Neurospora crassa OR74A: one gene and its partner. The protein of the gene in region 2 purifies or fractionates together with the protein of the main gene of each other region. This does not show direct contact. Links are inferred from orthologs where the notes say so. Each region holds a gene or a part of one and is shown on either strand. Other genes may lie near its edges.

Region 1 (4,537 bases), on a different chromosome or scaffold from region 2:
GAGCGAGTAGTGGTTTCGTTGACATCTTGGAGCGGCAGCCAGGCGGGTGGGTCTTGATCGGGTACAGGGGAGACACCGTCGTTGTGTGGCTGGCCTCCGTTTAGGTAGTCCGAGGCGGACGGGCTTTCGTTAGCTCTCGGTGTCTTCGGAGAGCTCGCCTTAGTGGCGAAGTCGAACTGGTCGGAGCCGATGGGCGACGGAACGCCAAACACTTGGGCCTGAGTGATTGTCGGTAGTTCCTCGAGGGTCCCTGATTGCAGAACACTCTCTTTGCGCGACTGTGTTGGCACAGGCAGACTGGCCGAACTGGATCGGGTCGGGTCGGCCATGGCAGACGATGGGCGGTTGACGGTTGGTCAGCCTACCGGGGGACTGGTGAAGTATGCTGTTGCTGTTGCTGTTGCTGTTGTTGTCCTTGATGCTGGGAGATGTGGACAGTATCTTGAGAGAAGAAGGGGTAGGATCCTCGGTAGCGAAACATGCCGCGGCTCACAAGTAACGGTAGAAATGGTCACGCTCGTGGAAAGCGGGTTGACTCTCCAGGGGCTCGAAGACGGCGGTCAACTTTTTGAATAATGGGAATTGCTAATCGGAACGAGCCAACGACCGGGAAAAGAGCGGCAGAGTGGTTCCAATCGGGCCAACAAGGTCGGTGAAAGAAGATGGAGACGGTGGCGTGGCTACCTTGAACAGTATGAAGTACCTCCCAAGGTGGAAGTTCGCAGATACAGTCGGTTTTAGGGGGAGGTCGAAGTAGTGTAGAGAAAGCAAGATGAGGTGACGTTGGAGATTGAAGCAAGGTGTAAACTGTTAGAGTAGTAGTACTCTACTTACTAGTACACAGCGGGCATCCCCGTACAAGGAAAAGGTAGACGCGAAAAGGGGCAGGAGAGAGGTCAAACTTGGAAGTTGTTGTTTATTGGCCGCGCCCGTCTGTTACTGTTACTGTTACTGTTACTGTTACTACCTGTATCGTCCGGTACGGTAACTGTCCGTTGTACCTGCGTAGTAAGGTTGGAATGAGAGAACCAAGAGCAACCTGGAATAATTTGTTTTTTTCATTATTCGGTCAACTACTCTCTCCACCTCAGAGTTCTGCCTGATCTCTTGACCGTCACCTTTCTTCTACGTCAACGTTCCCCGTCATGTGGAGGGGTAAAACGTGCAAGACGCCTGCCTGCGTGTGTCGGGTGTTTGTCAAAGTGGTGAGACGAAGGATCCCGTCCCGTCACGTTGCAAGGTACTTACCTAGGTAGCGCAATGCTCCGCTACAGTAACCAAGTGGAAAGGCGCTGAAGGAGCCCCCCGTCGCACCTGGACTGCCCTGCTGGAAAATGGGGTTTTGTCATTTTAGGTTGGGGTGCTTGGACATGCAGGCATGGACGGCCCTTAACGAATTACAGAAGCTATACCCGACAGGGTTAGCAATCCCGGGTCCTGGAACTGCTAGATCCAGCCGACGGGAGCCAGCCACGAGATAGGTGGATGGAGACGATGGATCATTGGATGTCTCTGGTAGAGAGAGGTACCTCTACCGGCCCAGGTTAGGTGCCCCTCTCCGATCATGCTGCTAGCAGCTGACAGCGGGCGTCACTGTAGGTAGAGGTAGGTAGCGTTTGGTGATTTCCCGTCCCTTGTAGCGTTCGCAGGGGCACGGCAGCTACCTGGGTTCCATCTCCTCCCGTTTCTGTCGCGTCGACGCGGGAATCTTAGCGTAGTAGTGGTGGGCAACGTGCTGCAATCCAATGTGGGGAACTACCGGGCGTGCTCTGCTGACGTCCTTCCATATGTTTACCGATGTTCCCTCCGCTTTTGTCCCAATTGCAACAATTTCCGCCTGGAGGTCTCGCGCCTCGTTAATGCCACCACCATGCCCAGGTACGCGTCCCTCATCCCAGCACCCAACATATCGTGACTAACCGGCAAACAGAGAAATAATAACCATCCAGGCCGGCCAGTGCGGCAACAGCAGTGAGTGCCCAATTCAACCCGACGAGGAGGCAGTCGACCTTCACCCAGTCTTGCGCCTCGACATCCGGCAGCTGGACGCGCAGTTTCTGCTAACATTCTCAAGTCGGAAGCCAGTTCTGGCAGCAGCTTTGTCTGGAGCATGGCATCAGCCAGGACGGAACCATCGAGGACTTTGCGACCGAAGGCGGCGACCGTAAAGATGTCTTCTTTTACCAGAGCGACGATACGCGATACATTCCCCGGTCCATCCTGATCGATCTCGAACCCAGAGTCATCAATACCATCCAGACCGGACCATACCGGAACATATACAACCCAGAAAACTTCTACGTGGGCAAGAGCGGACTTGGTGCGGGTAACAACTGGGGTGATGGTTACCAAACAGGCGAGCAGGTACATGAGGAGATCATGGAGATGATTGAGCGCGAAGCCGACGGCAGCGACTCCCTCGAGGGCTTCATGATGTTACACTCCATCGCCGGCGGCACAGGATCAGGCCTGGGTTCTTTCCTACTCGAGCGACTGAACGACCGCTTCCCCAAGAAGATCATCCAGACATATTCGGTATTTCCCGACACGACCAGCGCCGGCGATGTTGTCGTGCACCCCTACAACAGTTTACTTGCCATGAGGAGGTTAACGCAAAACGCCGACTCGGTAGTGGTGCTTGACAACGGCGCCTTGTCACACATTGCCGCCGACAGACTACACGTACAAGAGCCATCCTTCCAACAGACGAATCAGCTCGTATCGACCGTCATGTCCGCCAGCACAACCACCCTTCGATACCCCGGCTACATGCACAACGACCTGGTCAGCATTCTCGCGTCCTTGATTCCGACTCCTCGATGCCACTTCTTGATGACGTCGTACACGCCCTTCACTGGCGACCAGGTAGAGCAGGCAAAGACGGTGCGCAAAACGACGGTTCTCGACGTCATGAGACGATTGCTGCAGCCCAAGAATCGCATGGTGTCTACTGTACCCGGCAAGAAGAGCTGCTACATTTCCATCCTGAACGTCATCCAGGGCGACGTGGACCCAACCGATGTGCACAAGAGTCTGCTCCGTATTAGGGAACGTCGTCTTGCTACATTCATTCCTTGGGGTCCCGCTAGCATCCAGGTGGCACTGACCAAGAGGAGTCCCTACGTGACTATGGCACATCGTGTCAGTGGTTTGATGTTGGCAAACCATACTAGTATTGCTACGGTATGTCAACTGCTGCTGTGTTGGCTAGATAGATGATCAAACTGACATTTCTTCACACAGCTCTTCAAGCGTATCGTTAGGCAGTACGATGGCATGCGGAAGCGCAACGCCTTTATGGAAGCCTACAAAAAGACGGCGCCGTTTTCTGAAAACCTCAACGAGTTTGACGAAGCCAGGGAGGTCGTCATGGACCTTATTGCCGATTACGAGGCTGCCGAAGACGCCAATTATCTCAACCCCGAGCTTGGCGAAAACGCGTCGGCTGACACGGACAAGAGAATGGCTTGAGTCTTAGCCGGACAGATGATGGCCAGCTGGGGGCCTTTTGTTTTGCGACTATACCTGGGATCCTTTAAAGACAGCTGGTATCCCTCTTTTTCTCTTCTTTTTTTTTTTTTTCTTAACTAGGCTGACGCGATATCACGACCAGATTGTTGTTCGCAGGCGTTATTGGGCGGGAGGGAAAACCAGGAGAAAGGTGTTGGCGCGCGTTTTCTGTATCGTTTGGCATGTTGTCGATAGATTGCAGCAGCTCTTTGACCACTGAGGCTATGGAAATACCACTTGTCTTCAAACCCCAAAATGCATGCACGCGCGACCTCAGCTTGGGCTTCATAAAGGACCCCAAGGTGATAAGTACTCAACCAACTGACAAGTGGCTGCGTGGTCGAGCGGCGTGGTGCGCTGAGCTCTCTTTGCACAAGGAGGGTAGTGCACCACATGCTGGGGGGGGGGCCCTCGCCGCCGTAGGTGACCCAACGGGGACCTAAATGGCGGGGGAGAACCTCCCTGGAAGCACTGTAAGCTGGCGTCTTCCGGCTATGCAAAATAGGGCTCTTCTACTCCCTTCCAGTTGAACGTGACGTCAGCCGTTCGATTCCAGCTCTTGTCCTCTCTCTTTTTTTTACTTTTTTTTTTTTACTTTTTCTGTTTCTTGGTTGTGTTTCATTGTCAGTGGGTGCTGCGATCAATATCGTTATGGTCCTCTGCAGGAAGCTATATAGATGCAGATGAAGCTATCACCACATCTTGGCACTCCTTAGCGTATTTAGACAAAATATTGAGACAGGGATGGCATTGACTGCTTTTAGTCTCAATCAGGAACCCAAGGACGGTGATAGGCGTATCTCCCTACCAACACTTCAGGGTGAAGATGACCTCATCAAGATTTGGCAAAATACATCAGATGCACTGCGCTCAATGCAGATTACCGCGAGAATTCGAGATGCACGGATTTCAAACGACATGGTCATCCAGCGCGGGAGGGGAGGAGTAGGAGTCCTTCCCAGAAGTCCCTTGAGCTTCCCTGTTGCTCCAACTTCCCCAGGAAGAAAACATGCCTTGACCAATGGAA
Region 2 (4,527 bases):
TTCTTGGCATCGAGCTTCTCCTCCATGACCTGCTTGAGCGTCTTGAGGACGAGCGTCTCGGCGTCTTCGAGGGTGAGGGACTATATAACAAGATGAAAATTAGCAATAAGGCCCTAATACAGTCCCGGGCACCCTAGATAACCCACCTTGTGGTACTCATTCTGCAACTCGGCCTGCGCGCCCTCGCTACCGCTTCCAATTGCCTTTGCATCATAGCGATAAAACGTTCCCGACGGCTCGGCATGGTACAGACTCGGGCCGTCCTCATCGTAGCCGGCAATCAGCAGCGCCACGCCAAAGGGGCGGGACATGATGCTCTCCTCGCCGTCGGCGCTCTCGCCGAAGCGCAGGGCCAGGTCGCAGATGGCCTGCGTGCAGCTCTCGACGCGCAGCTTCTCGTTGTAGTTGAAGGCGTGGCTCTGGCACTCGACGCGGGCGTGCTCGATCATGGAGCGCGCATCGGCCTGCAGCCCGGACATGGCGGTCCCGATGTGGCGGTCGATCTCGACAATCTTCTCGACCGACGAGGTCTCGAGCAGGGTCGAGGTCACGCGCTTCTCGACGCCGAGAATGACGCCCTCCGAGGTGGCGACGCCGATGGCGGTGGAGCCGAGCTTGATGGCCTCGAGGGAGTACTCGACTTGGAAGAGGCGGCCTTCGGGGGAGAAGGTGCTGTAGGCATGATTATTAGTCTTCCTTGTTGGACTGGGTAGATAGGTGGGTGACTTGGATGTAGGTATTGTGGCAGGTTGTGTGGTGTTTTATCGGTATTCGTTAGAGGGTGTTATCGAGGGATATGCGATCGAGTAGTGGCTGGAGGAGTATGGGAGAGAGAGAGAGAGAGGGTGGTGTGGCCAAGCGTAAAAGTCGTTCGTTCGTATGTTCACTTACTTGATGCCCCGATCTAGATGATGCGCCCAAGTATGTTAGCCGTCCGTCAGTCCATGATGTCTGGTGTAGCTGTCTGGTGTAGCTTGTCCCCTCCGGTGGCATCACTTGAAGCTTGACATGGGCAAAGCAAGTGAGGGGGGTGGTAGTGACATACCGTATTCAGATCTTGCCATAAACATTTTGACGGTGTTGAGGGGAGCTCGAGTGGGGAGAAGGGTCCGGGATGTAGTATTGCTGTCGGGAGGTAAGCCTGGCTTTGCTGGTTATATGCGCCGGGCGTTGGTTGGTGATAGCCGAAGAGATAGATGGTGTTAGCGTCGAGGGTCGGTGTCTCTTAGTCGAGGACTGGTGAGTGATGTTGTTTGTTTTGGGAGAGATTGGATGATGCTGTGCCGTGGTGGTTTGGATGGGAACAAGCTGCCGTAAGGCCTGAACTGAGGTGCCTGGGACCGACCGACGTCAAGCACCTCAGTGGAATGGAAGAGCTCCAGGCACGACAGGCCGACGAAGCTCCTCTGCCAGGCGGGCCGGCCAATCCCCTGTACCCTAGGTACCTAGGTAGGTGTCCCAAAAGGTACTTGCAGGTACGTACCTCCCGTCTACCTTCAGTTCCCACCTAGCAACCCGACTGTCAGCGCCTGGCCAGGGGAACCCCTCAGACCTAGCGGCCCGGGTGCCCCTCCCTGCCCGTAGAAGCCGCCCGCTGGGGCATCACCTATCCACTGAGACGGCTTGCTTGGCGGGTCCTCCTCCCTCTGATAACGCGTCCAATTAATTGTTGGTGGTCGCGTCACTTCCATCCAGCGGGCATCGGGTCTCCATTCCGCCGACACACTCCAACATCCAACGGGACGGCATCCTCTCACACTCACTCACTCACTCACTCACTCATCACTTTTGGACTGCGATTGCTACCTTCTTGGCTTCGCAATTCCTCCTCCATTTCCATATCCAACAACGTCTCCTCACAGGACAACCCTGTTGTTGTTACCCGGCAGATTTCCCGACCGCTGCTCGACCGTCACAATACATACGTTAGGCTGACAAGCTACAAGTCCAAAGATAATGTACCCTTAGAAGGGGGCAACATCACCGGGTCTCCGACCGTCAACCTTCACCAAACCCAGGCCCGACACGCCCGACCCCAGATCCAGTCCAGCGGCCCACGGCATTGTACATGGCCACGAGCCGCCAAACATATCCATAACCTTCTCCCACTTCCCCGACCGCCGCGCCGCCAGAGTCACCTCCGCAATGGGATCATCGGCCACCCTAGCCCCGACCCAATCCACCTCACAGACACGTCCCACCAGCAGAACCCTCGTCAATGACCGCCGCCCAGCCAAAGTCCAGGTGACCACACGCGATCCTGCCATGGCTCGATCCGGCCGGAACGCCGACCCCCTCAGCGCTGGTAGCGACACCCTCAAGTCCAGATCACGGAATGTCGAGTCAAGGCGGCCAAGAGGAGACAGCCGCGCTGCTGAACAACAACCACAACCACCACCGCCAGCCCCTTGGGAACCCGCCGCTACCCTACTCCCTCACACGTCAGCCCCTTTAGCTTCGCGAGTCTCGATACCGCCCGTTGCTTCGTCCGCGCCTCAGACACTACAGCCGCGACCGCTTGCCGAGCTGTCCCTCAATGCGCAAGAGGCTGCCATGATCGAGGACCTGCTCTTCGTGTTTATGGGCTTCGAGGGACAGTACATCCGATTCGCAAAAGGCTACAATCCCTACGAGGAACGAGACCGCTTGTCTGGGCCACAATGGCGCATCCTATCTGGGCTGGATCCCAGCTTGCTGGACCTTACACAATCCATGCTGCGCATGGCTTCTCACTACACGGCGCTGGAGACGTTTGTTGATGTTCAGAGTCGCGAAGAATTCGGTGCCGTCAACCACGCCTTGTGCGCCTCGATCCGGAGGTATTTGCACGAGTATCTGGTCATGGTTGTCCAGCTGGAGACACAGTTTCTCAACGACGAGAACTTTACATTACAGCAACTCAACGTGCATATCCTTCCCAGCAGCCATCTGATGGCTCACATGTATGGCTTGGCGCTGGAGCTGCTAAAGCGCAATGCGCTTCTGGATGACGACTCGGACGAATCGAGCGATAGTTCCGACGACGACTTCGATCACATCATCGAGCAGCTCAGAGACGGCGGTGATCTTGTGCCGGGGAATATGACGGGCAAAAAGATATGCAAGGGAGGCGTGGTATTGGGGCTGATCACCAAGAGACTGGAGTCGCTATCGGGAGACCCGTCCGCCAGAGTACTCCTCACAACTCTGCTACGGGACGCAAGCCGACCATACATGGCCATGTTGAACGAGTGGTTGCACCATGGAAGCATCAACGACCCACATTCCGAGTTTCTGATCAAAGAACAAAAGAGTATTCGCAGGGAACGATTAGAGCAGGATTATACCGACGAATACTGGGAGAGGCGATACACGATACGAGATCACGACGTGCCACCTCAACTGGAGGCCGTCAAAGACAAGGTCTTGCTGGCTGGCAAATACCTGAATGTTGTCCGAGAGTGCGGAGGCGTCGATGTTAGTCGCAAGATGCAGGACGTACCAAACTCGTTCGACGACAATAGGTTTCTGGAGAACATCAGCAGCGCCTACGCTCATGCCAACGGATCGCTAATGCAATTGCTTCTTACCACACACGAGTTGCCGGCGAGACTACGATCGTTAAAACACTACTTTTTCCTGGACCCTTCGGATTACTTCAACTACTTTTTGGAACTAGGAACGTCCGAATTACGAAAGCCCGTCAAGGTGGTGAACACTGGCAAGCTCCAGTCTTTGCTCGATTTAGTCCTACGACAACCGGGAAGCATAGTCTGTCTGGACAAGTTCAAGGAGGATGTCAAGGTGGAGATGAACGAGGTTACGCTACTCAAATCGCTTCAGCGGGTCGTTAACATTACCGGTATTGAGCAAGGCGAGGCGCTTCAGCTTACATCAAACCAACCGTTGGAAGGCGACAAAAACGCCACTGGATTTACCTCGCTCCAGCTCGACTATACTGTTCCCTTCCCGGTGTCTCTTGTTATTAGCAGGAAGACCATTTGGCGTTATCAGGCCTTGTTCCGCTACCTTTTGTCACTGCGTTACCTCGAGACCCAACTATCGGTCACATGGTATACTCACGCAAGCGGCACGGCCTGGACACACCGTTCATCCAACCGCATGCTGGAGATCTGGAAGCGAAGGGTATGGACACTCCGAGCTCGTATGCTTGTATTCGTTCAGCAGCTGCTTTATTTTTGCACTGCCGAGGTAATCGAGCCGAACTGGCAGAAGCTCATGAACACGCTCCGGGAGATTGAGAACAACTGCGCGGGTGTGACTACACAAGACGGTACCTCTACGCCAAGGGCATCATCTGCCAAGAAGCCTCATACCGTCGATGGGCTTATGCAGGAACACGTGGATTTCCTCGACACTTGCTTGAAGGAATGCATGTTGACCAACAGCAAGTTGTTACGAGTATGTCTTGTCCCCCCCCCTTACCTCCTACCCTAGGTATTCCGAATAATACAAACTAACTAACAAACCCCCCCAGATCCACTCCAAACTAATGCAAACCTGCTCCGTCTTCGCCACCTACACCAA

The links.
Region 1: the proteins of NCU05296 (region 2) and tbg purify together in Schizosaccharomyces pombe (affinity purification with western blotting; 3 studies listed by BioGRID, with this or other methods). This does not show direct contact. The link is inferred for Neurospora crassa OR74A from reciprocal best matches to the Schizosaccharomyces pombe genes alp4 and gtb1.

The regions. Positions count from the first base shown.
Region 1 is NC_026506.1:2,228,060-2,232,596, reverse strand, and holds tbg (tubulin gamma chain), read left to right. Parts: upstream 1-1,723; 5' UTR 1,724-1,870; coding exon 1,871-1,878; intron 1,879-1,930; coding exon 1,931-1,971; intron 1,972-2,074; coding exon 2,075-3,183; intron 3,184-3,243; coding exon 3,244-3,471; 3' UTR 3,472-4,208; downstream 4,209-4,537. Other genes in the region: NCU03955 (phospholipase D1), read right to left, coding at 1-329. UniProt on the Schizosaccharomyces pombe protein: Tubulin is the major constituent of microtubules. The gamma chain is found at microtubule organizing centers (MTOC) such as the spindle poles or the centrosome, suggesting that it is involved in the minus-end nucleation of microtubule assembly.
Region 2 is NC_026504.1:5,425,505-5,430,031, reverse strand, and holds the start of NCU05296 (spindle pole body component 97), read left to right. Parts: upstream 1-1,702; 5' UTR 1,703-2,145; coding exon 2,146-4,401; intron 4,402-4,477; coding exon 4,478-4,527. Other genes in the region: pca-5 (proteasome component PUP2), read right to left, coding at 1-80, 147-672, 892-904, 1,046-1,070. UniProt on the Schizosaccharomyces pombe protein: Component of the gamma tubule complex that is required for the regulation of both interphase microtubules and mitotic bipolar spindles.